Linked DNA regions of Lepisosteus oculatus. The protein of the gene in region 2 interacts with the protein of the main gene of each other region in a pairwise test. Links are inferred from orthologs where the notes say so. Each region holds a gene or a part of one and is shown on either strand. Other genes may lie near its edges.

What was found.
Region 1: the proteins of ribonuclease ZC3H12A (region 2) and p4ha3 interact in binary tests that used the Homo sapiens proteins (3 or more experiments, as listed by UniProt). The two-hybrid records come from large-scale screens. The link is inferred for Lepisosteus oculatus from reciprocal best matches to the Homo sapiens genes ZC3H12A and P4HA3.

What each region holds. Positions count from the first base shown.
Region 1 is NC_090700.1:9,363,786-9,380,283, reverse strand, and holds the start of p4ha3 (prolyl 4-hydroxylase subunit alpha-3), read right to left. Parts: upstream 8,203-16,498; 5' UTR 7,938-8,202; coding exon 7,717-7,937; intron 6,282-7,716; coding exon 6,127-6,281; intron 5,833-6,126; coding exon 5,609-5,832; intron 4,454-5,608; coding exon 4,304-4,453; intron 3,744-4,303; coding exon 3,692-3,743; intron 3,133-3,691; coding exon 2,969-3,132; intron 2,261-2,968; coding exon 2,084-2,260; intron 1-2,083. Other genes in the region: or95a1 (odorant receptor 129-1), read right to left, coding at 12,237-13,166; odorant receptor 131-2-like, read right to left, coding at 15,618-16,498. UniProt on the Homo sapiens protein: Catalyzes the post-translational formation of 4-hydroxyproline in -Xaa-Pro-Gly- sequences in collagens and other proteins.
Region 2 is NC_090706.1:5,514,948-5,532,209, reverse strand, and holds the start of ribonuclease ZC3H12A, read right to left. Parts: upstream 8,583-17,262; 5' UTR 8,457-8,582; intron 7,030-8,456; 5' UTR 6,835-7,029; coding exon 6,377-6,834; intron 3,294-6,376; coding exon 3,154-3,293; intron 1,118-3,153; coding exon 883-1,117; intron 270-882; coding exon 163-269; intron 1-162. UniProt on the Homo sapiens protein: Endoribonuclease involved in various biological functions such as cellular inflammatory response and immune homeostasis, glial differentiation of neuroprogenitor cells, cell death of cardiomyocytes, adipogenesis and angiogenesis.

The DNA.
Region 1 (16,498 bases), on a different chromosome or scaffold from region 2:
GAGTAGCAGGCCGATTATACAAAGCACTAAGCTCAGGGTGGTCAATCTGTGGGCTGTCTGCCACATGGAAACCTTTGGAATGGCAAAAAGATTGCCATCCCAGAATTTCACCAAGTCTTCAAAACATCACACATGTTCAGATATATTATGCATTCTTAAGTTTTATTCTAAATATTTGGGTAGAAGGTGTAGTGAGCCTAGAGGCTGAAGGAGGGACACTCAGGCAAATTGCTTATTTAGTTTAAGTAAACTGCCACTAAATTCAACCAAAAAGCATAAGCATTGTGTTTGAATGGATATGCTCAAATACTTGTTCTCTATTACTGCTTACTAGCATTCAAATGTCTAGGTTATAGACCCTGAGCTAGGAAAGAATGGAATAAGTGACACAAGCCGAAATTTTGGGCAAATGAGACATATTCCGTGTCTGGATTTAATGCACTCTGTCCAATATGATCATATTTTTGAATTCCCAATTAAAGAAATACAGACGTTTTCAATTAATGATGGAATGGAGAAACATAAATCATCCGCAGCTGCTGGCTAATACTGATGGACTGTTTTCAGGGAATCTCCTCAAATTCTGCACAAAACCACAAGAGCCAGCTCGCCTATCCCACCACAGGGTGAAGTGAGGGAATAGTTTCCACCATCCATACGGATGTGAAGAAAACCAAGAGGACTGTAATTTTCACAGAGAGGATAATATTGAAAACAAATTGAGTGTTGGTAATTCATTGGTTATGCCCTAGAGAATGCCTGCAATCACATCAAACATTCCGCTTAGGAGTTGTAAATCCCTGTGCAGCACTAATTTCCCAGATACGAAAGACCACATTAATATCACTTGGAGGTACAGTGATCTGAGGTATGAATCACATCCCACTTGCCCCATTATGGCTGCAGACATTTTCAGAGCCACAGAAGGTATCAGATGTCTGTTGCTCTGTCTTTCAATTGTCACTCTCAATGCCAAATATGAACAGGGCCAAAAAAGCAGTCTCGAATAGCAAGAGTAACCTCCAAACATAGGGATCTGTTTGCTCATTGCAAACAGCTGTAGTTGAAAGAGATATGAAGACCAACCTTGATCAGAAATATCGACTCCCATTTTTATAGAAAGTAACTTATTTTACAGAGTTAACCTCATGTCTGAAAGAAGTTCAAGCAACTCAAAATGTGGGTTTTTGAACATAAAATTATAAAATTGTATTTCGTATTGTATTTTTGCCTTGGATAGTTCTAAAGGCCACTGAAATTCAGCACTGGGAGTTAATTTATAAGAGCCACAAAAAAAGGTGTAAATTTATTCAAATTAGCTAGGCTGAACCGAGTGACCTACCAGAAGATAAAACAAAACATCAAGTCAGACCAGTAGTTAATATACTCACTGCCACATCGACTACGGTTTATAGTTGAATGTATGACTGTCCGGCTGCCAGTTTAATCTAAACCTTCCTTGATAAAGCAGCAAGAAAATGTACACCTGGCCGCCAGCCTGAAGCTCCGCTAAACAAACCCGATTCCAAACTTTCAAAATTGGAAACTTCCTAAAATAAACAGAAGCTTAACAGGACTGCCAAGCCAAATAAACCGAAATGTCTGCGAAACGCAAACGGTCGGTCACATTTGCACATCACCTGAACAAGAATCCCAATCTCAAAGATACTTTTTGTTTGCGTGTTATCGGATGAGTAATAAACTTCTGATGTTCAAGTGTGTCAATGAAATTTTACAAGGAGGATATACCAGCTCTACTGTTGCCTATACTGTATGCCGTTTTGTATATTTGCTTTTAAGTGGGCTTGTAACTACACTCACTAATGCTAGTTCTGAAACTGAATCTATGGAGAGAAAAACATGCATTATATTTAGCACTGCCATTACCTGTGCTGGACTTTTAACACTTTAGAATATATTTGCCTTTTTGTGGACGCTTGTGTGGCCTGAGAAACTTGGTACAACTGTGCTATTTTTAAAAGCGATGCACAGAGATGGAGAAAGCATAGTGCATCCCAGATGCATGGCATTCTTATGGCATGAGCAAACAGGAGCATTACCAATGCGAAGGGTACAAACTTACTCCTGGTTCTGCAGAGCTCTTCACACTTTCAGCCTCCGCATCACTGACGAAGCTGTGGTATAGAACCACATATGGTTCCAGGCTGACGACCTCTCGTTTCATTGGCTCGAGAATCAGACCTGGGTTGCCGTTAGTAAAGTAATCGCAGAACAGCCCGGGGTTTTCATAATGTTTTGGCTGGAAACAGAAACAGCATATGAAGCTTATTACAAAGCTGGAATAAAAAAAAAAAGACCATTGTTTTTTTTGTTCTCTTGAGCATTAGGTTTTCTGGTTTCAGCGGCAGTTTCAACTCCCATTTCAAAGACTGAAAGATGTGACGGTATTTCATGAAATTAAAGCTTTCAATTTCTAAAACATGACGGACACGTTAATTTGAATAGGAAATCAAGTTTAATTAATAACCTTTTCTACTTTGCGTGAATCCCCTTTTCAACGTTTCTTTTTTTTTTGCATAAAGATTTAAAATGTTAAAATGGCCTGTAAACGGAGGTCAATATAACATTACAAGAAAAAATTGAATTCAAGAATATTGCAAAGCTTTTTTTAGAATTAGATTTGCGTCTGTAATAGAGAACACAAAGGCGCTTTCAACTATATTTTAACTCCATGATGACAGATACATTCCGTCTTAAAAAGTAACAAGGCGTTTCATGCTATATCCACAGGTGTTCATATGAACCCTTTAACACTCCCCACCTACAAACACATGAGTATACAGATTTTTCTGAAGATGAACATAAAAAAAATCATTTAATAAAAAAAATGGAGCATAATGGTAACAGCATTGATCAGATGACTTTTGTTTCTGTAGTGCTTTTAAATTCTTTATATGAACAATTTCCTCACTCAAACACTGACTCAAAAGAAGATATATGTTATTACCTGGGACCCCAGAGTCTGGCACAGCCTTTCATACACATGTCTTGTGTGCAAGTAAGTGGAGTTTGGTCTCTGCAGGACAGTATGGTGGGATTCTATGGGTGGAGATGCAGCAAGGAGTTTTTCATATTTTTCAATGTTCCGGGAAACCCTTTTATTGGAAGGATCTTTAAAAACAAATACAAAAGAATCTCTGAGCATGGCGTAACCCTGACTGTTTCAGCTTGTTGCCTAAAACAGTGATCTTAAAGGGATGGGATGTTCCACCATGTGGGAGCTAAATAGAAAAGCCATTAGAATTGAGCCAAGCTCGCTGCAAAACCAACAGAACAACTGGAAAAAAAATCATAAGAAAAGCTTGTAATAAATGAAAGTTTTTAACCGAATATCAATACGATTAGCTTTTTTCTAAATATAATGTTAGACTGTAAAATATTTTTTAGAACAGCCATAAAATGTTTTAGAAACGTCAAACATGAGAAACAAGCAACAAGCATTAACCTGTCCTAATATTCCGCTTCTGTTGAAGCAGACCTAAACCTAAAACCACATTAATGCACAGATGATTCGATGTGCACAGCATTTATACAGTATATTAAGGAAATGCCATAGGATCTCATCCTGCAGAATATGAAAAGCAGCTGCTTGACACAGACTCTTATGCTGGTGCTCTGTATTGTTTTAAGATACTGTAAGTCTGTACGGTTAGTGTGGATAAAAACATACCATAACGCAGGAGCTCCTGGGAGAGAACCCAAGCGTAGGATATGTTTCCCGTCTGAAACACAGCGTTAAAAAAAAAGAGCTCAATGCCTGTTGAAAAGAAAGCTAGTTCTCCTGAACAGAATCCTATCTATCTCCGTCAGTGGGCACTGCTCTGAATTACCCTGCACTGTACCTTTTTAAATGCCCCCTGGATGGTCTGATTAACATTCCAGGTGTTCTGGAGGTGTTCTCCCATCCCATTTCCTGAAAGGTTTTACAAACTGCATTAAGCAGTTCTAAACAGATGCAGAGCTATGTAGAAAACAGCAGAACAGAGCACGTACAATCTCCTACATACAAAACCAAGCAGGGTGAACCTTAAGTCGAACATTTGTGCGTCTGTCTGGAGTTGTATGGTAAGCATGTTTTGCCATCCACCGTTTCAAACTCTAGCCTAGCTGTAGACAAAATAAATCGCCCATCTGCAATTTTACTTACTGTAAGCCGTAGCTGTCAGGCAGAGGCAGTGCTGGATTACTGTTTAGCGGTTGCGTCGACAGGCCCCTAACGCAGGAGAAAGAAAACTAACGAGCGACAGAGAAAGGGAGCTAGAAACAGGGAGAATGTGGCTACCTTGAAGTGAGAGTAGGCCAGGTGGTCCAGGGTGTCCTTCAGGTTTCCTTCATCTTCAGTAATCCACTCACCCTGAGCCCTGCGAAACAGGCGAGCTGCCTCTTCCAGCCACTGCACGGAGTGATAGAAGTCCTCCATCTCGTAGGCCACCTGAAACACACCCCGACAGGCAACATGTCCAGCTGCTACCTGCATCAGCACACTTACAGCTAATCCAAACTAATTCCTCCATGCTCAAGGACCATCAGAACAATTGTCATTTGGTTGCCAGTAGCTTATGGATCTGAAAATGTAAACCCCTGGCAGGTACTTTTTCTATTTACTGTACAGACTTGGTTCATATAGCCAGAGACCAGTAGAAAAAGAAAAACAGGGAGATCCTCATTCTATGTTTTTAAGGAACAAATCCAAAACAGTGGAATACTCTTTCCTAGCCGACGCAAATTTAAAGGAAAAAATGTGAAGAGTCCTTCGAAGGCAGCTGATGACACACAGAAGTCACCAGTGACTTGTTGCAGTGCTCAGGGAATGCGCGGATTTCTTTATCTATGACCTTTTAAAGACCGAACAATCTAATGCTGGAATTATTCTCTACACTGTGGAATTTTAAGAGTGGGAAGTCAGGACGCAGTTTTTAGCTGTGAAATCAGGGCACTTGTCTGCCAAAACACTTTGACATCATGGGCGTCTGAAGAAAAAGAGAATTACAGCTGGCTCAAGTTTTATTCATACAATTAATATACTGTATATTGCTACCCTTGATGGACATGATATTTGATGCAAAACTTGGTTTTACCAAAACAATTACTTATACTGAATGTACACTTGCAACAGGTACAGGGTATTGCAAAACCAAATCTGTTCTAAGTAAACAATGTGCAAAATTATTCATACCCCACAAGTCGGCATTTTGTTGATCCTCCTGTCTTATTGACAACATATGGGGTAGTGGATTCCAACCTTTGTCCTAGAGCAACACTGTCACTGTGGCTGTTGTTCAAGCTGAGCCCTACATACCCATTGATAATTGACGACTTAATTGATCTGCTTTCTTGTTTAGACTATTATTGAACTTGTTTCTTCACTCAGTCCCAACAGTCAAAAAAACCCTATTTGAACTGTCTGCAACAGTTTCGGCTTACAGAACTTTAAACAACCTTTCCTTGCCTCGATTGCCATTATTTCTGACTCTTATTTGGCTTTATTGAATAATTAATTAACTGCTATAATTATGCACAGATCAGTGAGAATCCCCATTCAATCAAGGTTATCTCAGAAGAACCTTGATTGTTTGCGTTTTCCCACCTTTCCAACTTGGAAGCAGTCGTCTCCTGAGAGGGGGACGATGACAGCAGGTCTGTAAATGTCCATTGTCTGACCTGCAGTGACCCTCTGGAACAGTCCATTCGCTAGCCCCTCCACACGGAGAGAGTACACATCCTGGAGCCTCATCAGCCCCTTGGCAGCCCCTTCCAGATCTTCGAAGTTGGGCAGGCGGCCCTCCTCTTTCTCAAAGCCTGACTTGAAGGCTAAACAACGACAAGGAAACTGGGTCATTCTCCGCCCCAGAATTCAGCATTGCGACCAAAACAATTTTAAAAATTGCTTTATAAGCCAGTCGTGCCTTGATTAGACGTCAACTGGTGAAAGGACCGCGGCAATTTGGAAAGCACGCTACTCAAAAACTAAAACATTGAACTATTTTGCCCTCAGAACTCAGAGACTGAAAGTGTTCAGCTACTTCCTGGAAGGGGGAAGGGCAGGCGGGTGATGGTGTCTCGGGGATCTTCAGCTGTTAAGCAAACCGGCCGTGAAATTGTCACCTTGGGAGTTCTCGTGGGCTTCATTGCTGTGAACCACATTGAGCCACTCAGACTGCAGGCGCTTAATCAACGTGTATGCCACCAGAGGATTAGCCATTGCTGCCACTGGACTGTGATACACATGACTGTGCAGGTCTGCCACCTTCGCATAGAATCTGAAAGGAAAGACAGGATTGATGTGTAAAGGACTTTATCTATAGCACCACATATGAAAGCCTGAGAACAACGGAGTTCCAATTTTTTTTTATATACTGCATAAATTATTTATTCCAAAAGATGAATGACCTTAATTAATGAATTAAGGTCTGTGTCTGTATACAGATACTACTAACTTGTTATACTAGCTGGTTATTAGCTAAAAACTACCTGCAGGTTTGCCTTGCCTACCTAGAATGGCAGGAAAAACGGAAAGCAGAAAAAAAACTGAACCCGCCAGCTACAAAGGCAAAACCCAGCACCTGACAGCTGATTCCCATTTAATAAGTAGCCCCTGAATCCTGCCTTCAAATGATGCGTTTGAAATGCGATATTCCTGGCTGGGTTAGGCCTTAGTCCAATTAACAGATAATGAAGTATGGGCGACAAAGTGTCAGACACAACTAGTAAAATTCATCGAAAAAGAAAAGAAGCCAGCACACAGAGAGCTGGCTAATGAAAGTATACATTGAATAATCAATGGGTCTGAGAGAGGAGGGCTGAATACACAGCAGGAATTGCGATGACCAGGGAAAAGAATACCCTTTTTTTTTAGGATTCAGTTTTGGCTGCTGAGCCGTGCGAGAAGCCATAGTAAAATGTTCCTTTGTGAAGGGAACAACAGAGATCAAGCTCCCTGCTGCTCCCCACAGGACACACTCCTTCAGAGAAGGAGAAAAGAGTACAGGCTGGTGACACATGCTGTTAGCCTGGCTCTGCCTCATGTCCATTGGTTAGTAAATAAGATACCCCAATCCCAATAGCAAGACAGGGGAAACCAGCACAAATACAAGAACACATAAATAAATGAGAGGTACTGTAGGTAACACGGCTAAAGAGTACTTTTTGGGATGAGAGCTTTCTCCTCTTCAGTCATATTCAAAAACCGTTTCCCTTTACTCAGTATAACATGGGTTCTCTCCAAGTCCAAACACCACAAAAAAAACTACGATGCGCACACACACACCATAGCATTTGAGCATATCCTACTCCTTATGCGATGACAGTTGCGTGCCATGACGGACTCGCTGCATCTCACGAAAGCGGCGTGCACAAGTTTTAGATTACACCCGTTTAGGGCTAACGGGCTAGTATGCTTTTCCAATACACAAGAGAAAAGGAAAAGGCTAGTAGTGCCTTATCGAAACACACGCACAAAAAAACCCGCCTCTAGAATCTAAAACGTGATATTCAATAGTAAACATTATATGACCGAATATTGCCAGAATGCGTGACTTCCATATGATAACTTGATGGTAAATTGTTGTCAGCTGTGGTTAACAGCTCTGCAATATGAATGCAAAGTGATAAGCAAAACGTAAACGGTAAATAGCCTTAGCCACTCTTAACACACAAATCATTCTGAATTTAGCCAAGAAACAGAGAGGGACCCACCTTTTGATGTCATTCAGCCTGAGGGTTTCATCCTCAATATAGGTCCTTAAATGGCTTAGGAGCTCTTTCTCTACAGAAATGGCTTTCTGCACATTAACCACAGAAGTGTAAATTTCACCGAGAGAAGGCGGCACCACAATGAAGTTGATGAAAACCAGAATTTGGAGATTTTTCAGGAAGACAGATATTCCACGGTGTCTGAATAATATTCGATAAGTCATTTTAATTTAAAAAAAGAGTCGCATTAAATACGTTCAGCATAAACGACGAAAACGGATATAAAAAAAAAACATCGCATTTTCCTTGCTAAAAGCCAGTAGTTCAGCACAATGTAAAGCGTTTCTCGAAACCTTTAACAATTACTTTCAGACGTTTTAACTGCAACTCCCAAAACTCCTTGTGGCCAGCGCAGTTCTCTGCAGAAATGTGAGACCACGCAGATGAGGTACTAAGTGAACACAGGAGGTCTAACTGCTATCAGCCCACACTTGCAGGAGACGAATTTATGAGGTCAGAACAAAACAAATAAATGTATATTTATTTAAATTACAGTTTATGGCGTTTTCTGGGACAGGGGCCGAAAATGCTAAAATAAATGTATATGCACTAGTTTTCATATCAAAAAACTGTTATTAGTTTTCTCCATTTGAAACGTTTTTATTTTAAAAACTATATCAATTAGCACACCTTAAAAATGTTAAATTCTAGGACTCCGCCGAATATACCAATAAAATACCCCCGAAATAGTGTTTATTGTTTTAATCAAAATTCATTTGTATTTATTGTTAGGACTCTTGGGAAACCATACATACATATTATACATATTGATGCATCAAAAACCAATCTTTACTATCACACCACTCTTACTCGAAAATCCTTATAACGAGCACTAGATTATTTAATTAATTTATATTATTATTAATTTATCAAGGATTCCACTGCTCTATAATTAAAAAGGTAAAATAGAGGTAGGGATATACACGTAGAACAAAGCACGCGTTTAAGAGTTGTAATTGTAAAAATACAAACCTGAAACATCACCATCACTAATCGTTTCAACGCGAATAGCAAAACAGCAGTTACACGCGTAATCTGCCGAGGATTGCATTCCGATTTGCAGAGACTTTCACAATCAATTACAGACAATAAATTAAATGATAATAACAAGAGGGTTTAAATGCATCTTGGGGAAAGCAACATACAAAGGTCACTTGGGAAGCAGAGCGTTCCATTTCATTTAACTCCTTCACCTCCAGATGGGGTTAGTGAAAGGATTTACATTTTTTAAAGTGTTTTTTTCAACGGTGTGAATTGGTCTTAATTGAGTTTTACAGCAAAACGTACTAACGTCCAGGAGGAAATAGTAGAATTAGCATATAGAGAACATTCAGAGAGAATCAAGCTTTTTAAATCAATTGTCTCAAACTCGGCTCCTGGAAAGTCAAGCGTCTTTTGTTTTCTTTTTTTGTGTGTGTTAAATTTAATTAACTGCCTAATTGTAAAACGCCTTGCTACACTACGAGGGGTTTTATAGGTAACTGCACCTTTTATGAAGTGAACGTTTTGAGTAACTGGCTGCATAAGTCGACCATTAAATAAAACATATATACAGAATCTAACTGGGAGAATAGGCAGATGGATAAAATGACTCCTTAAGTTGGAACTCAAACCAAAATGCTGGAATTGGAACAGGTAAAGTTTTATTTCATGCTGAAAGGAAAAGAAAGGAGACACAGGGTTTTGGTTGTGGAGCCTACTTCAGGTGTCCCTTGTCACTTTTCTTGGAAAAAGTACAGGGTACGTTTTTCCATTGTTAGTTTACCGCCTCCACAAAAAGCATAATCATAAGTGGTTGTTTAAGTTTCTAATATGTTGGAGTGTTATACCTCAGAAAACAAAATGTAGGTTGTCACAAAAACAATAATTCAATGCTTCTGAAGTGCTTAGCTGTTTCAACTTTACTTGAAACATTTCTTCCAATAGAATCGCAGTCATCCTGCACTAGAGCTGCTAAACAGAATACGATTGTTTTCCCTGTGCTGGGTTTTTTGTATTGACAGACTTGAAACACATCAGACAACAGCATTAAAATTTACATATATATGCCGCCAGCCTGCTAGTAATCGAAATCTAAATCAAAAGCTTCTCTACATTTGTAATCATTTCCCTCAAGTGCATTTCTCATGAATAATTAGATCCAAAAGTATCTGTATCTGAAATATATGCTGTATATCTATCTATCTGAGGTTCTTAATCTGTATCTTAGAACCTCCCCACACTATCACACTTTTAAAATGTAATATTCAATTGTTTGCACACTTGATCAGTTTGTGTAAGTGGAAACTGAAACACCTGAGCTACAGTAAATGCATACTAATAAAGTCTTGAAAATGTCATACCGACACAAAATTAATGTGTTGACTTAAATTGTTATGCCTATTCTGCACACATTTCCATTGGCTAAACTAAACCACCAAAGCAGAATTCGATGTGTCTGACAGTCCTGCTCTCCCTGTCTTCCACTGTCTGTCTAGAAACCCTTTAAAAAAACCAAAGCAAAACCAAGGTTGTTTCACATTTTTAAGTAGACACGGAGTAGAATTGTTCCTTAGCCGAATTGAAAACACCCTTCCCTTGATATGAGCCCAGGGAGATGAATAATGCAAATTAAAAAAAATAATAATAGAATTACAGGCTCTGTGTGGAGCTTAGATACAAACACAGGCACTTTCCCCTAAGTCGAGCAGTGAGAAAAATAACCTGCTTTCAAATGCTGAGTCATTGTTTAGCTCATGTAACACTACATTCAATTGTTTTCCTTAATGGTCTGGGATAAACTGCACAGAGTCTGATTGGGAGTTAATTAAGACGCTGTTTTCTCACACTGTTTTCACTAATTGCAGAGCCTTCATGTATATTTTGTAACCAAGAGCTGTTGTTATGCAACTCTTCATTAGAGTAGTGTTCGATTCCCTGAGCCATCATCCTTTTTCTTTCTTGAATGATTACAACATCTTTAACATGTGTTTCTGTAACCCCTTAAGCCAAATGAATCATCTTTGAAAGTAAAGCCTACAATGTGGATCCTCTGCAAGGAATATGTTTCTACATGTTTCTTCACGTGAAATTGTGTGCAAAATCTAAAAAGAGCAAAAAGCATTCCTCTCAGGTTTTCTAGTAAAAATGTTAAAATGTCAGCTATAGATACTTTTGGATTTATTTATTCATGAGAAATGCACTGGAGGGGGACAATTACAACTTAAGAGCAAGCTTTTGATTTCGACATAGATTACTAGCAGCCTGGGAGCATGTACTGTATATATAAACTCTAACCCTAGAATATATATTCATTTTTGAAAGACAGGAACAGACTAATGAAACAAAAATAAATGATTGCAATAATAATAATTAGATGAGATTCCTTTCAGGTAAAATTAAGTCAATTTGCAAAAAGGACTTATTTCAATTAAATATGTTTACAGTATATTATAGTAGATATAGTAGATAAAACACCATTTTAATAGTATTACCCACAGGCACAAAAAGCACAATTAGGGACAGGTGTTATGGGTTGGATTAGTTTTTTATCTACTCAGATTCAAAGGGAATTTTATTCATTTGTTGAAGACTGGAATACAGAAAAGGCTCAAGAGTATAATTGAAAAGCTAGCTGTCATTCTCATGACATATAAATTAAGTATTCATTAATGTACTATCATGCATTCAAGGCATATTTGCGGCATTTTGCTCCTTTGAAAGTGAGTTCTCTCGGCTGGAATTTTGCAATATTTTCTGGGAAGCTGGTTAGGCAGTTGACCTAAAGGTAAGCCTAGGGGGCAGTATTGCTATATAAATGACAAGGGTGAAAAATTACACTTTTCTGCACCAAAATCATGAAGCACTGGTTGGAAAAATTTAAATTGAAGCATAAGGCGAAGGCTTTCATTGAAAGCTGTCGAGCCTAAAGAGCGCCAAAACCTGAGTTTAGCAACAAAAGCAAAAATTAAAGACAAAGGACATGTTTTCTTTTCATTTTTTTAATTCTAGATGTGATATTATAGAATCTGTTAGCAATGAAAAAAACCCACACTTGCTGTTAAGAAAGAAAATTTAGTTTTACCTGCCCAAATTGATATTTTAAAATCTCCAAATAATTTTTCCACCCTCAGCTTTTGAATATAAAACTCTTCCTCTACGTTCCTCGCTAGCATAGAGGCTATGCAGCAACAACAACAAAAAAAACATTATTGCAATCAACCAAGCATTAATTCCTGTTCATACCTTGTGTTGGCATAAAAAAATAAGATGTACAAGCTTTCCTTATGTATTTTTTATTTATTGATTTACCACAACATCATGGCATCAGAAAAATCTGGCTTTCCATTAGTGGAATAACAAACAAATCAGATGATAACATATAAATATCTTGACGTACCTCATTTTCTTTAGAAACACTTGGTTTCCCTGGTGATCTTTGACAGAAAATCTTGTCTCGTATTACTAAGCGGTTACCTGAGGGATTATGGGACATTTTTATTGGAACAGCACAGCATGGCTCTCTTCATGCGAGTTCGGAGTTTCTCGTCTCGGACGCCATATATCAGTGGGCTGAGGAAGCGGGGCAGAAGAATGAAACAGAAGTAGTTGAAGAAGGAGATGTGTTCCTTCAGCCAGCCCACGTGAAGCACTATCAGGCTCTCAGTGATGGGATGCGTGAAGGACATCATGCAGAGGAGCAGCTGGATTCCATGCAGTATCACAGTGTGCAGGGCTTTCTTCACAGAGGCTCTGTCGGAGTGCATTTTCCTGGCCTTCAGCAAGATGCGGATGTAGGTGTACAGGATGACGACAGCGACTAGAGCAAAGAACAAGACGTTCATAGTGACTTTGAACAGCGTTTGAGTGGGGGAAGAGTTAAGGACCTGTGACTTGCAGAGTACAGGGGTCGAGTACACGTCTATGTCCGAATAAGACCCAGCTAGAGCAAAATCGACGGCAGGAAGGATGCAGCTGATCAGCCAAACAGCTCCCATCACGATCCAGGTCCTGTCCACTCGGCAGATCTCCGGGTGCCGCAGGGGGTAACAGATGGCCACATAGCGCTCCAGAGACATGGTGGCCAGGATGAGAGGCGTGTTCTGGAAAGTGGCGGTGGAGATGAACAGCAGGGGTGTGCAGAACACGACAGCGAAGCGCACGTTGGTCATGACGAAGAGAAAGAGCAGCACGGAGAACAGGAGCTGGGCGGTGTCGTTGATCAGCATGTAGGCAAACAACACGTAGCGGGAATTCTCCCAGAACTGTCTGTGCGAGGCGAACGTGAAGAGCATCAGAATTATGAAGTACAAAAAGGTGCAGAAAAGGGGGGTGACCACACAGATCTTTATCACAACTGACAGACTGCTGGCAGGAGAGGTCACATTGCTTGGGAGAGCAGTTGAATTCTGCATGGCTTAGGCACACATGTAACACACAGGGCCAACCCTGACTTTCTTGTGTTTTATGTGGCCCAGAGAACCTACAAAATAAGCATTATAGTCATTATCCAGATGACAGAAATTGAAAACATTATTTTTGTAAAGAATTGACGTTTCACAGTCCCACTCTCGCCTCTATTTGAATTGTTAGAAGACAGTCTCTTGTATGCTATAGAGAAGGCCTTTATAAATATGCACAGAATTAGGAATGATATTTATGTTTCTTGTTGATTTATTGTATTTCCTAAGATTGAATCATTTTCAGATATAAATATTCATTAATTTCCTAACAATTATCACTTGCTTGGTGCCTTTAAATATGATTCATATTTACTGATACTTCCAGGATACCAAATTCAATTGCATAGAAGCTTTGCACCATGCCCTTTGTTCCATTTGTTTTTTTTCCAAATCTCACAAGCTTGACTAAAACAACTAAAATAATTTTCTCATTTGAAAGAAAGTCTGTTCAATTTAGTCTTATGAATTGTATTGAATGAAACATTGAATCTGAATAAAACAAAGAATAAGAAATGATTATAGTGTACAATAAAATACATATGTTGGTGTCCCTTAAGAGTCTCTAAGATGATTTATATTAGTAGTTTAGGTAAGCTTTGCTTTAAGTAGACTTTAATTATCTTTTTCAAGATGGATTATTGAATTGGTGTAGATGCAATTGTGAATAATGGAAACTATTGTGAATAAAGGAAATAATACATTTTTAGAATTAAACAAGTCTTTTCTTAAGTTTCCCGTTGTGAGTAGATTGATTACATGCATCTTGCTGCATTTTAGCAATTTAAAATGGTTTTACTATTTTTTGGTACTTTAATGGTAATTACTAAATTTACACCAGTGCTAAATCTTCAGCTTTTTGTTCGTTATCGCCAGCCATCTTACCTTCGTGTGCCCAGTGAAGAATATAATAACTGAGTTTCAAGTTTGTTCAACTTTTATATGATAGTGCCCTAAAAGACCTGCAGGAAATGCATCCTCTTAGGAAACATATTCTTTAGTCTGTATGATGTTGTTTTTCCTCATGGGGTAAATTAATTTCATGCTATAGTCACAATCCATCATTTTGATAATTAGTACTGATGGAAACAACAGCAAAGAGATGTTAGTTATGGGAGATAAGGAATAGATCTCTTTTGGAACTGTGGGTAAAAAGACCAAGGAAAGGATTTGTACTCTAAGAATGGTTCACAGCTGTCTCAGAATTATGTATTCAGTTTGAATTGGTATAACATCACGGTGCCCCATGAGCAACTCAGATCAGCACACGTATTAGTATTAAAGTAATACTTGTTAACAACAGTAACATGAACAAGCACACTGTTGATGGAAAAAATGTTGTTTTGTTTTTACCACTAACTTTAGTTTTTTGCTTTACTATTATTATTCACTGTTATTGGGTTAAACAACCCTATTAAAATGCTTTAACCTTTTTTTTTTTTTATAGAGAGACCATAATGAATGCTGAATTTAAAACATTTAAATTTTTATTTGATTTTTGTGCTTAAATAATTTGGCTTTTTACAAGCAATGGTATATATTTAATAATACTACAAATTTGGTGTTGGTTTAGCATTGTTTTGACTAGAAGAACAGAGGAAAGGTTAGAAATGAAAGGAGGCTGTTAGACCCATCTGGATTGTTGGTTGCTAGTAGATAGTTGACACACAGTAGATCTAATGGTCTTATCTAGCCATTGTTTAAAGGAAGGCTTATCTGAAGGTTATAAATATATATACAGTATAAGTTGTAAGATCCAGGAAGCATGATGATCTCACCTTCAGCATCCGTGAAATTTTAAGTTTCTATTTGAATTTTCTACATTTAGAAATTTAAGAACAGTTTTGGCAACAGTACATTTGTATTAAAAACAAATAAAAAAAGTAAGAACGTTTTTCAAAACTTCATGTTCTTTACAGCTTTCTTGGTAAAAACTTAAACTTTCTTTCCAGGGGGGTATCCTGCCTTGTGCCCGTTGCTTGCCATAAAAGGCTCTTGCTTCATTAGAAAATGGATGGATGTCTGTTTTCTCAGGTTGCATGTATAATTAATACATGTTTGTAAAAACCACCAGGTATTAATTTGAAACAAAAATAACAGCAAATATTATTTCAGTTTTTAAAATGTGTTTTTTCTTCACCTGAACATTTTTTACAAACTGAGTAAAAACTGTTTTAATTGCATTATTTCTAGCAATTTAGTTCTGCATTTTCTACCAATATAATGATGAGAAACTTAACCTGCACTAACCTTTTTCTAGTTAAAGGCAGAACACACCAATCAGAAAATGTGAAACTCAGTTAGACTAAGTTCAAGATAAATCCAAATGTTTTGGATTATTATTGTTAACTTTTTGTTCCATTTAAATTAAAATTAAACTAAAGGCCTAACATTTGGAATTTTATTTTAAAATTTAACCAAAACAGGTTTTACTTTCTTAGAACCACACATAAAATAATATTTAAAAAGTGGACGAAAGCTCTCGTCTCTCAGACCGTATATAAGTGGACTTAAACATCTGGGAAGGATGAGAAGAACCACAAAGTTGAGGTACCGCAGGTGAATGTAGACGGACACAGTCATCCTTGCTAACAAGGCCTCTATCACACCATACAAGGAGGAAGTGAGGCACAGACCCAGCTGAACTGCGTGCAGCAGCACTGTATTCCTGGCCTTTGTTGCTGAAGCTCTGTCAGAGGAGACTGACCTGGCCTCCAACATTATTGCCACATACGTGTAAAGGAGAATGACTCCCACTGCTACAAAATAGAAAGTGTTGAATCCTTGATACATGTCTGCCTGCCATTTAGACATGAACAGCTTTTCACGTGTGCAAAACATAGGAATTAGGAAAAGTGTGGGCTCAGTTTTTAGCAGAACCAATACGTCTATTATGGGGTTTATAGAGCCAAGAATCCAAATTATCCCTATGGCAATGCAAGTCCGTTTAGGAGTCGCTATTTCACTGTGTCTCAGAGGGAAGCAGATGGCTATGTAGCGCTCAAGAGACATGAGAGCAAGGTTCAGTGGGGAGTTTTTAAGAGTGGTACTGGATATGAACAAAATAATGGTACACACGGCCGTAACTAAGTACAGATACGCTGTTGCAAAGATGTACAGCAGGACACTGGTCAGCAGCTGGACGGAGTCGTTGAAGAGCATGTGGGCAAACAGGATGTAGCGGGAAGACTCTCTGAAGGTGCTTTTGCTCCTCAGGGTGAACAGCATGATGCCGTTCACATAGATGAAGAAAAAACATGCTGACACAGCTAGAGTCCCTTTTATTC
Region 2 (17,262 bases):
TTTGGTACTAGAACCAATTACATTTGATATGTTTTAAATGTCTTTCAACAGAATTCAATTTACAAGCAAAATGTTCACAATTTGCGAGGGATAATTATCCAAGTGCTAACATCTTGATCAGGTTTGAGCTGTGTTCAGAAATGTGCTCTTGAAGGGTCTTACCATATGGACAGTGCTGTCGTTTTAATTCCTGGACCAGGGGTTTCTTCCTGAGGAAATTATCCAAGCTGGGACCATGGCGTCCAAGCGGATCATCAGGAGGCATAAATCTGAGTGAAACAGAGAAACATTTAGGCTCACAAACATACAGAAAATCATTTTCTACAATCCTAAATTTACCATGTGCTAGATGCTCGGTCAAACTCTTTCGAAAAAGAAGTCAGCATCTCCATATCACGAAATGACAAAGAAATGTTGAAATAGCATAAGAGACAAGCAGATAACAGAGTATAGGTGACTTATCATATTCAGTGTGTTGCAGGCTTATAATGAAAGCAACAGGTGTAAACATGGTCCTTAATTAAACATTTTTTTGAAATCTAGAGCAATGAAGCGAAGAAAAAAACCCCAAAACTGTCAAAGAGTAAAGTACAGTGAGCTAGGCTGAACAGTATTTGACACAATCATTCACTCTAGAAAAATGGGCTGCATAAACTGGCGCGTGGCTCCGATTAAGGTAGTCTGAGGGAAGACACGCGTGGTCCTCACCATCTGTCCCACGCTTGCAACGCCGAGACAAGCTGATTAACAACACAATCACACACTGGATGGGTGGAGGGTTTAAAACGTAATGGAATATGTGGCCCAAATCAGCAACATTGTATAACGCTTGCCCACAGCCGGGGGATGCTGGGCCGCAAGGCGGGCAGCGCCTTCGCTCACTTGTCGTTGACGAAGGAATACATCAGCAGGCGCTCCTCTATGAAGCGCCTCCACTCGGGCCGCTCGCTCTGCAGGTCGCGGTAGGTGTCGTTGGACACGATGATGCCGTCGGACTCGTGAGCCAGCTTGACGATGAAGCGGTCGTCGTAACAGACCACCCGCTTCCCCCCCACCCGGCGGGAGGGCGTGAACACCACAATCTTCTTCCGCTCCAGGTCTCGCAAGATGTGCTGGTCTAGGAAAAAAAACACGAGAACCACGGTGGAACCATGTAACCTGGAACAAAAACATTGTTTATGCATATCCTGATCTTATTCTTCATCATGCATCTGAAAGATGCCATCTCAGGACAGTCTGGCCGTCGCCTTTTAATGAGGAAATGAAAAAGATTTTATACTAAAATTCCCCAGAGAAGATGTAGGTATGAAGCGATCAGCAGATAAATCACATTTGAAATTCTATTTCCTTGTGGGGCTTTCCCAGCTGCGTTTCGGTCTCCTTTCTTCCTGGTGTTCTGTAGAACATTTACCCTTTCAAACCCTCGCTCACAGAATTTGATTTCAGAGGGCAGGAAAACCAAACTACATGGTCCAGCTGCTGAAGCTTTAGAAAACTAATATTGAAACAAAAAACCCTGACAAGACAGTCATAACCTGCAGGTATCTCCATTAGTGCAGCAAGAAGCCAGGGAAAAGGGATTAAAGTGGTTTATCATTCACTTACTCAAAGGTTCATAAACACTTTCAAAAGCTTGGTCAACTCCCCTATCAAAGTACTGCTGTGATCTTTGCACCTTTTATAATGTAATAACACATTCAACCCTTAATAAAGGGTTGACAAAGTGCCATAAAGAGCAGGAAATACCTGCTGAAAAAACACCGGGAAATAAAGCCAGATAAATAGAAGAATACAAGTATTGTACAGGTAGAAAAAAACACAAAGTGGATGGCAGCCTTCAGCAGCCTTCAAGCTCAGAGGGCCAGGACCTGCCTTGCTCTCCTTGACACTGGTGCCTGGCCATTCATTGTAGGTTAACTTCAGACATTTTGCACAGTATTCTGAAGCAGTTATGCATATGTCAGCCTTCTGTGTGAAGATATGTTTCAGGATGTATCAGGAACTGTGCGAGTCAGGTTTTACTGTTTTATTGCATATGTGTTGGGCCTGATCTTCCCTAAAGGCAACGTGCTTATTTTATAATAAATCAAGATTAGATGGGCACTTTGTCTGCAGTTTGCCACATGGAAAATCAGGCTCCTTTTTTTTTAATGGCTTTTCATTTTAACAATATATATCTTTACAGTGGAGAGGAAGAGGGGTTTCAGTGTAATTTGTTTAAGTGATCAGAATGAGTCAAGTTAATAAACAGGATTAATTTATAAGAATAAATGCAGGAGGAAAAAAATGATTGACTTCAAAAAGTAAAACTCATGGACTAGTCTGCACAACTATAACAGGGCTTCAAAAGACGTTTTAAACAGCTTAATTTCTATTTCTGCCATTCTGTCATGTCTTTCTATGCATACTACCAACAAGCCGATTGTACATGTGAAGCTACATCAGAAAAGCAATAATTATCCAGGCCTTCATTCCTCTGTTGTGCAACATATTATCCTGATTCGGCATTAGAAAATGCAAAGAATACAGTTTTTAGATGTACTGGTCATTTCAGAAAAAATACAGCTGCCTTTTAGAAATAAAATCACTTAATGCCTCTGGTGATTGAGTGTACACATTTAGACTTCTGACAACAGCAGTGAGTCACATTAACAGGACCATCTTGTAACGGGAGTAGATAATTTGTGATTCACTTGATAACCTAGATTAACAGGTGTAGTAACCTGTATAATCCAGAAGTTATACATAATTCACTTTACATCAGGCACCATTACAAGCACTGCACAGTTTTCGATTGGTTTTGTAGCATCTTTTCTGTGCGTTTTGATCAGAAAAAAACAGCTTTTCTGTTTTTCCTAATTTAACAACTCACGCAGTTAGCATGTGAAAATATCTAAACTCTGTCTCGGTTAATGGTCATTGTGTAATTAGGCATGAAAAGAACATGGTATGAAGAAAATGGTAAAAACCAGAAGCCTTATTTGTGTTAATCTTTCATGTGCATGTAGATAGAACGTGGAGTGGATCAGGAATTTCAAGTATGAATGCAAATTGGTACTATTAGGAACAACACTTTCAAATGCATCAATTTAGTGTATGTAAAATAGGAATTAGTCACCAAACATATTTTCCATATACATTTCCATTCTTTACCTGTTATGGGTACATCAGGCCTGGGCTGTTCTTTTCTCCACGAAGGCACAAATACTGTAATGTCGCTGTGGCCCCGCTCCAGAAAATAGTTCACTGCAAGCTGAATCCCCCGGCAGGAAAACACCTCCTTATTTCCATGGCTAAAAAACAAAACACCTATGATTACTAGTTTTGAAACAGACTAGTGAGAAATTAAGCCTTAAAACAGATATTTTAAAAAATAATGTCTAAAGCCAGAACTGTATTAATTACGGTAGGGATGACTTTGCCCAAGGCCCAGTGTGACAGGAAAGGTGCTCACTCCATGTGATTATCGAACTTTAGAATCCAGTAGCTGTGAGGCTGAGCCGTGTTCATGTTAAGGTCTCATCAAAAAAGCAGCACTTTCAACAGCACAGTGTCCCTGCTCACTAAACTAGGGCATTGGTACAGAAGAATTGGAAGAAACCTCTACTCCACCAATACTACTTGATCAGGTTTCTGCTTTTTCCTTGAAGGTCCACCATACCAGTACAACTGACAATTTCTAAATGGTACGGGTATACAATGTACAAAAACAACTGTCAATTCTAATAAAAACAAAAACAGCAGTATAAGAAAAAGTTAAGAATTTAAATTTTAGGCTCTGTTATAAAAACAAAAACATAATCATCCTAAAACACCACTTTCATGTATACTCAGATACATCAATAAAGAGTTGAAAAGGTATAGTTTTAGCAGACAAGGAAACAACTTTAGCATATTCTGCTTTTTTGATGCTATACATCAGGTAAGGCTTCTTTGTTTTTAATCACAACATGAAATTCTAAAAACCATCATAATTTCCTATATTGAATTAAAACCAAATATAACACAAACAACACAAGAATACCACCAAAAAAACACCAAACTATTCCTGAATTAATCTGTCAAATAAATTTAAAAATACAAAACTTGTAGATTGTGAATTAGTAAAAGTTTCTAATGGATCACAAATTCAAAGTTAACCAGAAAGCAGAAAGAAGAGAACACTCCTAAGGTATTCCCGTATCATACTGCAGGGTTAACTGCAATTTTTAAAAAAGAATTAACATTGCAAGAATTAGTTGTACACCTTTTCATTGCTTTTTTATTATTTTTAAAAACAGTAAGGTCTAAAAGTAAAGTCTAAAAAGAAAGTTTTAGTTTTTAAATCACAATTAAATGAAAATCTGAACTTGTTTAATTCCTATCATTGGTTCTATTGTGTGAATGCAGAAATCAATGAATGGTTGAATGGTATGTAAAGAATTCATTAGTATCATTAATTCAGAGTATGGACATTTAGTCAAGCGCAAAAAAGAAGCTGTAATATTAATTTAGATTTATAAGTTACAAATTAAAGAAATATAACTCACATGAAAGGTTATGTACACAATATCTTTCATACTGAAAAATAATACAAAATCCATTACAGTATTATATTTTACCTATTATATTCCGACTATATACAGTACATGCCTTATCTTACCTTTTTACTATTAATAAAAATCTAAAGGCACTGAAACATCCTCTTTTGCAATATTATTTTCTCTGTAATGGGCAACACTTCATTTCACAGTGTGTTCTTCCAGATTGCCACCCTTACAAACATGATATCCGACAGATACAGTAGCTGAAACGTTTTGACTAAACTACGGAATGCTGGGGTATAAAATTTTCTCTTTGACTGCTGACCAAACTAGAATTTTCAGTTTTGCAAAGCTAAAAAACTGGTTTGTCACCAAAAGCTTTGGTTAACAGAACATGGTCCACTCTTTCAAATGTATTTTTATAATGACAAAATAAATCTTTGAACTTTTGTACATTTGTCACAGATGCACATCTTATGAGGTTGTGTCATATGACCATATAAATATGCCACTAACTCAGTGACCAGAGTATAATTCTGAATACCATGTTTGTATAAACGCACGCTAGTCTTTAAAAACAAAATATACTGTAATTCAAATTACCGATACACCAGTGATGTTCAGAAAAATATCTACTTCTCAGAAATGTCAGCAAGCTTCATTCCTTGAGCGCCTATAGACTTCGCAATAGGGCAATACTGCCAAGCCTGTTCAGCCATTACTGTCCATTCTGAAAATTCCCAAAGGAGGAAGTCGTGCTTTGATTTGCATTGAGATTTGCATACACTGAATTTAGTACAGACATACAGCTTACCAAGAAAATTATTCAAAAACAATCTTTAGGTGGAAAGATGAAGGAAGGAAAGCAAATTTCCTGTGCTCTTTGTAATGTTCTGTTTCACCTTTAGACCGGCCCTTGGCTACTTCCTTACAATTATTACTGAAGATAACCTCATGAATCTTTACGACAGAACAAACTCAATCATTGATCCTTTGACTATCGTTTTTGGGGGTATTGCCTTGAGTAAAACCTTACATCTCAAAAGCAGACCGTAGAGATAAAGATACAACAGAGTAAAGACATACAGTATATGGCAAATTAATTAGAAAGATTGATGGTTTGATTTTATACCCTGGCACTCTGAGTGACAGATGAAAAATAAAATAACCTACAGAAGGGCATTAATTGCTCTAGACAGGTGCCTGTAAGTTGTTGAGGTGTGTCTACCAAAACAGTAGGAAACACTTTTATATTAAAAGGGGAATCCTGAATATTGTGTCCTGACAGCTTAAAATCATTTCAAATGTTGTGGGCTGTTAAAACCTTACAATTACCCCTGTCCACTCTAATTGCTTGCCAAAGGATTCCTAAAATAACAGGGACTCTCAATAACGCACCGGGTGCCCATCACTTTGATTACCTAGCACAAACACAACAGTTTTATATTCTTCTGAAGTAAAACTGTAAAGAAAGCCATTATTGTTTGCCTTTCTTATAACAGCATGTTTAACAGTAACGTATGGTACAAATCTAAGCTGCGTTGGCCCAAAGTGTCAACCAAATAAGTGCCTAGTAATGTAGAAGTGAATAAAGTGATCAGACAGCCTACAATGTGAACCTGATGAATGTGCATTCACTAAAAATGTCATCGACAAACTGTTGCACATGATGATGGAAGAGAGGAATTTCCCACATTCCACTGTGAAGTCAAATGTTTTCTCACACTATTATTGCTGTGGTATGTCACCACACTGTACGCGGCAAGAATCAAACACCCACACTGTGAAATAAAGTGTAATTAAATTCTGTAAAAAGAACAAGATTTGAAGAGGACTAATGGGTACCTACACACCTCATGGCAACATTGCTTCCGTCGATCACGATCGGTTTCAAGTGACCACCCTCCTCCTCGTCCTCTTCGGGGGGTGGCGGTGGGGAGGCTGATAGGCTGGAGGGGGTTCTGGCTGAGCTGCCCCCTCGAGAAACTAAGACGGGGCCAGTGGGGGATCCAGTGACCCCTTCCCTTTCTGAAGCTGTGGCCCCACACCTGACCAGCTCACCCAGCACCGTATTGGTGTCGGCGTTGACGCCTAGCTTGTGGAGAACCGCCACCACCTCATCAACCGAGTAGCCCAGCTTGCGGAAGAAGTCCACCTGCATCTGAAACTCGCTGGCTTCCAGGTGTGCCACATCTGGACTGCCCTGCTTCTCCTCCCTGGAGGGATAGTGGACGCCTCTGTCCATCCTGGTGATGGCGTGGGAGCCTTTGGAATGTCTAGTTGCAGACGGGAAGCTGTTTAAGGACAGCATATGATCTTCATTTACATATGGTCCATGAACACCTGAGTTTCGCAAGGAAAGGCAAGTCTCAGCAGAGGTCAGTTGTGTTTCTTCTGAGTTCCCAGACCATCTGGGGGAAATCCACTAAAGGGCTTATCTTACGTTGAGAACCATCCAGCTTCATGGTTTCCTCCTCATGATGATCACTTGGGTAACACCTAGTTCCTATAAAAAAAGGTTGAAGAAAGTTATGTAAAATAGTAACAATATGCCAGCACAGTTGCATTGCTATGTGATGCTGATATTTTTTTTTAAGTCTGTGAATATTTGGCCTCACTGTTGACTTCATACCTGGGGGCAGGGAAATAATAACACCTTCTTCTAAAAGAGGCAAAAACAAAACATTTTAGAATGTGTCTCGGATTTTGCTCCACAGTGTAAGATGGTACTGGACACATCTTAAACCCACAGTGTCAAAACATTTACATTACCACTTAACCACAATCTGAGGAGCAGAAGCATATCACGTTGCATACGTGCTGCTCCCTTAAATTTTAAATATTTAAAAGGAACACTTTAAACTATTTCCCATTATGACAGAGTGCTGACTGCTTAAAGCAGAACTGCAATTCAAGTAGACTTTCTCTAAATCACAGTGCAAGACCTGACTGTGACAATCTGATGAATATCTATTTAACACAGATAACCAGTTAATACAGCTACACGTTTCATACATTAAACATCTATTTTAATTACTGGGCCTTATCTGTGTTGTTTCTCAAAAAACCACTACACGTAATTTGAAGGGGGGGTTTACACTTGTGAAACAAAGATGTGCCGCCGAGAGTAGGAGAATAAGAAATTATTCACTAGGAAAAATACCTTTGTCTTCACACACCTTTCACAACTTAAACAAAGTTCCACATGAATGGAGTATGCACTTAATCATACACCACCTGAGAAAAGCGTTTCTAGAAAATCTGTGACACGAATATATAAATAAAAACACCAATAACACTTGTTTGGACTATTTTTAACGTTCTGTGGGTATAACAGATACTTTAGCATTATTTCAAATGCAACAGAACTGCTGTCTTAAATTTAAGAAATAATAATAACTAAACATTATTAGCCGAATGGTGTTTTATAAGGCGTTTTGTGTAATCCAAACTAGACAGAACACCCATCTAAAATATTTAACTTCGGGTAAAACAGGCCGGCATAAAAACACAGCCTCAATTGTCCAGCTAACCGATACTTGTTTAAATCAGAAATTGTCATTGAATTGAAATGAGTACTACAAACCTTTATAGAATGGAAGAAGCCGCACAAACGGAAATTAAAGTACAACTGGAAGGATAAGAACACTAACCTAACGTCACCATAAAGTACTACTTAGGGCGCACGTACTGTTCAACAAAAGCACGTTTAACAAAATCCGATCGAGCTAGTTTTGCTTTTGTAGTATATTACTGGTTTCTGAAATACCTAATGCGAAGACGGACGGGCGACACCCTCCTTTATTTTAACACCCGGATCTTTTCCTTTGACTGTCAAACCGAACATTTTTATTTTAGCTCCTGAATTAATTATGTATGTTTTTTTTTAATTGAGGCATGCATAAATCAAGTAATAAAACCAAAAACACATACCGCCGCCTGTTTAGAATGGCAGAACTCCATTTTTGTTACTTCTTTTCGCTTGTAGGTGTTTTTTGCATTCCAGTTACGAAGTACAGTATAAAGTCTATTCCGTTTCGCCTCTCTGCCTTTATAGCATACCTGGCTGATGTGACATCATGGGGTTGCCAGGAAGGTAAGCTAAACAATTCAGTCTCCTTCCTGGTTTGAAATACTGTAAGCACAGCCTGTCCAAAGTCACAAGGAAGTAAGCTAGATAATTATTAAGGCCGCTTTGTGAACAGCAAAGGTAGAAGCCTTCTCTTTTTTTTCTTTTGTGAAAGAGTGGGTAGGTATTGTGAAACTTCAAGCTCTACAGTACAGCATGTAGACAAGGGCCTTGTCTGTAGCTTTTTGGTCTCCTCCTGTTTGAAACAAGATATGTTTCAGTCATATTGCTGACACGACCACCCTTGCAATAGAAAGAGGGAAAAATCAGTTTTAAGCAAATTTCTACAAATCTGTCAGAAATTAAAACTGCCGACGATTTACAGGTACACGTTTTCTTTTCCGAGTTGAGCGCACAAAAACGCCAAATACACTAACACTTCAGCACGTCACAGTTTTCATATTAAAATGAAATGAGCATTATTATTATTGCTAATTTTATAATAAATGAATGAATGTAGTGTTAAATAAATATTTCACTCAGGTGTCTACCAAAAAAGAAACCGACAATGCGCTCTAGGCTGAGTAAAGACCAAGTTCTTAATAAAATAGTATTAGCACTGAGACCGATGTATTATAGGAATCTGAAGAAATTAAGGTTAACGAATCTCTAGGGCCTGATGATATTCTACCAATTTAATTAAAGAAAATGAAGAGATGTTAATCATGGACTATTAATTAAACTCTTCCAGTTGTCTTTTTTAGGACAGGGGTAATAGCCATGAACTAGATAATTGGAATTTCCTGAAATTTAATCTATTCTTAAAAAGGATGAAAAAAGACCAATAGGTCTTCTGACTTCTATTACATGTAAGGTTATAGAAACAAGAATTAGAATTAAACTAGGGCATCATCAGTATGGTAACAGGGTTTTAGAGGTAGACAGTATAGATTTAGAAAAGGTACTGTAGGTCCTGTTAGACTTTAAACAAGTCACAGCAGTGATGGATACAAATAGCATATGATATTGTTACATGTCACAGGTGATTGGTCACAAGTTCAGTACAGGTTAGTTTTAGTCTGGACTAGACAAAGGTAGTGGTGGCACAGTGGCACAGGGATTATCATGGCTCTCGCAGTGCTGGGGCTGTGGGTGCAATTCCGGACCTGGACTTTCCCGTGTTTGCGTAGGTTAACTGGCTTTTGGGAAATTTGTTCCTGGTGTGAGTGAGGGAGTGGCTGTGTCTGGCCTGCGATGGATTGGTGTCCTATCCAAGATGGACCCTGCCGTTCCCAATGTTTGCCAAGGAAGGCTAAGGCTCCCTTGCGACCTTGAATTGGATGAAGTTGTTAGAAAATGGATGGATAGGCAAAGGAGCTGAAGGAGGCACACCTGAAGAAGGCTCCACGGCCGAAACGTTGTGTTTTCTCTCTTCTTTCTTTCAGCATGGAATAAACCTATTACTTGTTCCTTTGCAGCGTACGCATGCTGACGCAGCTTCCCACCTGAACTATCTATCTATCGCACCCTTTCACCTGTTTGTTATAGGGCATGATTATAACAGGGAGACTGGCCAACTACAGTAGTCTTAGGGGAATACTTCCAGGGCCTGAACTAGCAGTTCTGTTAAAACTGTTAAAAGCTGTTAAAACAGAGGTGGATTCTGTCAAAGGTACTCAAGATTTCATTCAGATGTTCTGCTGCTGGAGGCGACAGTGTGTTTGCCAAGAATGAGATTTCATTTAAAGATTAAGTTTTATTTTCCGGCAGAAAAATCATTCCACACTGAATTGTAATGATACATTGCGTGTGTATGTATGTACAGTATTTATTGTTTGAGGCAAAAAGTGCCTACTGTGACTGCACCTTTATGAGGTGGTGGCTATGGATTTGAGCTTCTTGAGCCCAAATCTGGGGCATCAATCAGATAGCACTAGAAAAATAGCCAACTTAATAAAAGGGGAAATGTCTGTGATAACATCATCAACAACAATAATAATAGAGAATAAAATCTCTATTATTATTGGTGGTAATATTATTACTGGTGGTAAACAAGTGGATGAGTCATTCAAGCTCATTTAGTATTGGTTTATTTGCAAGACCTTTTATGTGTTTTAATCAAATTTTCTGAGGCTGACAAGGTCCTGAATTAGTGGAAAAACGTAAACTTTTCTCCATTTTATTAAGCATAACGTTTTACTGCCGTTGGTGGTGGTGCCCAATTGGCATATTGCCGCATGGGTACAGTGGGCATTAAGGGGCCAGAGGCTCTTGTGACTCAGCAGGCACTGCAGGCCTGCAGCGACATCAGTGAGAATGGAGCTGCTCCTCCTTGTGGCAATACTTCTCCTTTAAAGCACCGCAGAGTTTCCAGCATGGCAAATGCTGAAGGCACATGTCTGCAGGTCCTTCTCCATCATTCCCCTCTCCTCATTATGTATAGATACGGGAGTTACCACTGGGAATCTGAGCCTTAAAAACTGAGTGGGCGTATCACAATGCATATTTGATGGTTCCAAATAATTAGATTTATGTAACTAAATCATTCATACAGTGCTGGTATTTTTAAGTTTAGATGTTAAGATGAATAAGACCGACATGTACATCTAACTGAAGACTCTTTTAGTTTTTTCAAGCGTTGAATTTCAACACTGCCCACAACATGAATAGATTCCTATAACTCCCATGGTCATTTGATTGATTTCTTTATGGATGCATGATGTCACTACAACACTGTGACATTTTCTCCATGTCATCTTGTTTCTTCTTCTGTGGTTAACGCTAGCAGTGTGAAGATCCCCAGGACTCTGCTCCCCTCAATAACTGTGGTCTTTGTCAATTCTTCTTTCAAGAAGCGAAACAAACGTGATAATGCTCTGTGGGTGCAAGCTTTTGCAATAACACTCTAATGTGACCCGTTTATCTGCTTAAACTGTGCATCCAGAAAGAAATATCAGAGAGTTGCATTCTCAGTTTGTTTCTCTCCAATTTCAGCCTACATCTGTGCTGGTCTTGTCGTCAGATTCGAAAGCACCTACTTTAGATAGATAGATACTTTATTGATCCCGTGAGGGAAATTGCAGTGCAACAGCATCTTAACACAGACAACACAGCCACAGTGTAAAGCATGATACAATAATAATAGTAATAGTACAATACATGCAATACAATCAGTACAGTGAGGGGTGCACTAAAAGAGTTACTCACAGTCCGGACACACATTAAGTGCTAATTCAGTGCAGCAAGGAGCACTGTGCGATCATTTCTCTTCTTTGTGTTGAAGTCTGTGTCGGTTATCTGGGGGTGTTTCAGGCCTGTCACCAGCTTGACTGCTTTGCTCATTAGTCCACATATTAACACAGGTCATAGTCTTGAAAATACTGTATATAGGGTCTGACCAGCCACAGCCTGAACACAGAATGAGAGCCCTGGAAGATGTGATGCTGCATTTGGTTTTGGGCCTCATGAGCTCGTCTTGGATAGTGATAGTGAAGTTATGAGATCCTGGTTACCTGGGGGAAGTGAATATATACATGAGTGGGATTGGGGGACTGTCTGGCTATTACTAGAGACTAGGTATGACAGAGCATATACCATTCATGAAGTTAATCAATTTATTCAGTGCAAGAGGCCACTGTGCAATGGCCACTTCAAGAAACTGTAATTTGATGTCACATTTTTAGGAACCTGTACCCCAAAAAACTGGAATATCAAATGTGGAGTTAGTCTGAAACTACAGGACCTATTGGGGAAATGCCTAGATGATTAGGTTATTAAAATAAGCATTATTGTATGTATATCAATTGTATTACAAGCTAAATATTTTAAGCATGTTTCGATTATTTTAGATGTTTGTCTTATTTAAGATGTATGCAGGTTTCATATGTTAGCATGGCATTATACAATACCAAATACTGGTTAGTTGCATTTCACAATACCAGAAGGTCTGCTAAAGACTGATCCACAGTATTCAACAAATGTCTGTTTCTTATAGAGCTCACAACTCATGTATGAACATGTTTGTACAAAACAGCTCATTATAAAAGTTGCTCTGCTTCAATCCAACAGCAGGGTGTTTACTGGAAATTTTTACATTGTGCTTTTTACTTAGTTTTACTGTTAAGAGGAAGTGAATTCAGAATTGCTATCAGGCTAAAATGCAAAATCTTAATTGCCTTCCTTATTGTTGAACAAAAAGAAAAAAAATATTATGTTAAAAAAAGCAATGTTTTACTTGAGTGGGGGGGACCACAATTAAACAAGGGTCTTGAAATAAAATCTCCTTTGGTTGAAAAGGAGGCAGGAATGTCGAAGTGAAGAGTACCGTGCCCCTTGTTATTGATTATATCTATAGCTCTGAAAGAATAAAATGTATTACCATGGGAGTTCTTGATACCTTATTAACTCATTAGCATCCTTGTAGTTTGTTAATGAAATGATATTAATGAATTGTTTAATTAATGAAAATGGCAATATGACATCAAAGCAGTGTGCACGAAAACCTGCATTCTATACATAATTCATCAAAAGCTTACAAGTATTCCCAAGAGAGGCCTATTACTCTAACTGAATTGGTGATTTCCAGGCCAATGGCTAGAGACCCCTGCTCTGAGTCACGAAAAACTAAAAAAAAAGACAAAATTCCCATTATTAGAGTCAGGTTCAATGACTTAAGGCAGTTGAGTATTTGAATCCAGTGGCTATATTTATTGCCATCCAATGGAGAATCATTTACTATGGAGAAAGAAATGAACAGACAACATATCTTCTTTCACCTCTTTTTGGTATACAGCTTGGTCTTTGTTGCAAGAAGTCACCTCTTTGGCTTCTATTTTGGTGGTCATGAGATATATTATTTTTTGATTTGTGTCCTCTCCAGGTCTCCGAAGCAATACATTTTAGCCTCTGAATAGGAAATAGGTGTAGCTGTGACATACAGAGCCTCAGCCTCCTTTCCCACCAAATATGAAGTCGGTTGCATCAGATCATACCCTGGGGCCACCTGAATTTGATGTCCCCTCCTAGACTCCATAATAACAGGTGCTGTAAGAAATGTTTTCACCAAATAGCTCCCTCTGCTGGGTAGAGGGATCTACTACGTTAATAAACTATTGGAAGTTTTTATACAAGCTTGTTATATTAAGGAACACATAAGAATGAAAGTCCTAGAATGAGAATCCAATTGATAACAGGACGAGTCCAAGGTATTCTCATGGCAGGATGAAAGAAGAATAGGGAGATGGCAGAAATTAATGGAAGATATATCATGAATATCAGATAAGGAAAGTAGGACTTTTCACTTTTTCTTGACATCTTGCAGGCAAATCATCTTTTTTGCCAGGGGAAATGGTTTGATAAGCATCAATAAAATCAGAACCTGTTTAATAATTTAAGTGCTATAATAATTTTGGCTATTAAATAATTTATCAGAATTAGGAAGTATAACTAAATAGAATTTATACTTTTACTTTTGGCTATGAATAATGAGATTTAGTAGGCTAGTATGAAAAGTGTAAATCGAAATACTGAGCAAATATCCAAAATACGGAGACTGCTTTTGCAAATGTTCCACAAGATGTCACTGTGATCTTATTTTTCCTTTTGGTGAAACCTGTCTAGTTTGATGTTTCGTCCTAAAGAGGCTTGCTACTTATAAAGGTACATGAAGAGCTGTACACATGTAATTTATTTGGTTGGCAATTTCAGTCTGTGCAATTTATTTTCTTGTTGTTTTCTCTTTTCAGTGTTAATGCAAATAAAAAAAAATAACTCAAAATTTTGTAACAGAAAAAATGGGGTATAATTATAATCTTAGAAAAATGTAACCGTTTTTTTATCTTTTCAATAAATACAATGCTGTCGGAGTACAGAACAAAGCTCTGCTGAATATGCTGCAATTTTATGAGCACAAGAGGACATTTGTTTCCAGCAGTAATTTTACCTGTAAATTTTTTTAAAAATTTGAAAGTGGCAAGAATCCACAAACAAAACAATAACATTTGCAAACAAAAGAAATATTACAGTGATCTATCAACAAATAGGATGTATATAAGACATTAACAGGAAGATATCCTTCCAAATACAACAAATGCGAAAGTCAGATTATACACTGCGGTTTGAAAATTGCTATTAATGGAACAGATTCAATGCATACACAGCATGCTGGGACTGATTGTTAATGCTGATTATGAGGAAAGAACTGATGGACCAAAATGCAGTCCTTGAAGATTCAAAATATAGGTGCCTCTATGAAAACTCAAACTCCTCTATTTGTTGCCCAGGTTACTATTGGAAATCTCTTTGTAAATGTGGTAATTATTTGGCAGGGGGACAAAGGCTGTCGGTTGTATGATACTAATTTTCTTTCTTTTGTGAGACGAGGGTTAAATGAAGATTTAGTCAAGAGTTTTTATATAGTACACCTTTCTGCATTTTGACCTCTGTCAACACTCACAGCTGTACCTGCGGGTTGCCAGCAGAATAAAACAGCTAGCCTTCCATAATTACTCAGGGACATCTTTATATATTCATCTTTACATTGTACCTAGTGGAGTCCAAGGTTTAATCTTTTGCTGGTGGCCAATTAAAAGATATACTCTATATAGTATGTATTTTATTTTAAAACACCAGGAGCCTGTTTTACTGTCAAGGTGTAATTTTACTTTGTTTACTTTTCTATTCATCTGCTTTAGCGTATAGCTATTTGAAGAGCAATATAATTTCTCCTTCTGCCAGTGAAAGACAGTGAAGTGGCTCTGCTAGTTGTCTCCACAAAATAACATTTTCTGTAAGAAATGAAACACACCATTGTGTTGGTTGCTCGCGATATATATATCATGTATATATATGCTGTGGTAGCATGGAATGAAAAGACTCATACAGCATGTATACCGCTCCTGAACCTAAGCTTTTAAGACCTTTTAGTTGGAAGGATCCTGGTAAAAGTTGCACTCATGCAGCAGTTAGAAAATCAGTGTAATTCACCTAATATTGGACCAAAACTCCAAGATGGATGAGGAAGGGATTTTTAAAGTTGATGGAGTACTCATTTATCTACACTGACATCAAAGAAATCATTTAAGAAATAGAGCAATAATATAGCACTTCTACAATTTTGTATATGGAATGCAGACTCAAGTTATTTCTAATAGAAAGTTGGAATCATCTAAATACTGTACCAGATTGCTGGCTGAAAAGCAGGAACATTGGACACTGTAAGTGAACATGATGGTTGTAATGTATTGCCAGTAAATTACCCCTTAATCTGGCCGACACACTAAGGAATATCCTCTGAATATTTTATGGTGTGGATGTAGTGTGGAATAAGACAAAATTCCATTCTGTTCTTGGAGAAGCAAATTTAACTTCCTTGTAGTTTCTCCTCCCTTCGCCAGACTTGTCCAGTTTTAACTTCTGCGCACAATTAGATTGAGAACAGGGGAGTACCTTCAGGCCTTATTGCACAGTCAAATCCTCATTTCACCTGCTGGGCCTGATTAGTGTTGCAGAGGTATTGCAGCCAGAGGTAACGAACTCAAACAGAGTCAGGGGGTCTTCTCAACAGGGTTCTCTGTAGTTCAACAAGGTGAAACAGCCCTATGCAACCTGTATCTCTGTGACCTTTGGAAGCACAGATTCCAGAACTGCAGTCTTTGTGAGTTTATGCTGAAGGGAATGACGTCAAAGTTATTATATTCTAATACTCCAAAGCAAGGTATTTAGATGTTTTTTTTTCCTTTAATTTGTCAGCATTCAGAGCTTCTATTTCTCATATTTACACCTTAATTCAACAATGTCATACTTGTAAGTAAAACACATTTTATACTTTTACTGAGACTTTAGTCTCATCTCCAGAACTATGTGTGTATACAGTGTGTGTTCATAAATAGATGTTTATAGTTAGCCTTGAAATTTGAAAGGGAAAAAATGCCAGACAGCATGTTTACATGGTGTCCTAGCCTATAAATTAAAAATAATTATAAAATATATTATATTATAAAATATAAAATATAAATAATATTATATAAAATCACATTATACTATAAGAGCAGGACATGAAGGAAGGTTGCCAAGCACAAACAGAAATTCATAATCCTTAATGTCCATTTTTTTAGTTTTGCTATACAGTTCAAATTGAACCATTTATATATACTATGTTGTGAATGTAACAGATTGGTCTCTTCATTGTCTTATTTTTAATAGAATCCTAATAATTAATGTCTAAGAATATAAAAATATTGTACATACACTAAATATACCTATAATGTAGAAGTATGAGAATTGCATTTTTATTTAAAAAACACAACACTGCAGATACATTGCAACACACTATATTATTCATGAAAAATCAATATCGATTGGATAACCTGGAAACACAGGCTTTGAAAAAGCTCAAGTTCATAATTCAGGGAAATAGCTTTGTAGCAGATAGATACGTGAATAAACGGTTCATTTCCCTTTTTGTGGTTTTTTTATGATATATTTGCCTTTTTAACTCCAAGTTGACGAACACCAGGACCTAAGGTAGCTTGTGTCTCGGTTCCAGTTATCAAGGATGTACTGTATATACCTTACTTGTCGTCCATCCATTTTGTAATGGCTCTGCTTTGTCCAGTTCAGGGTCTTGGGAGGAAACTATCAGCAGGTACAAGGAAGGGTGCAGACTGGATG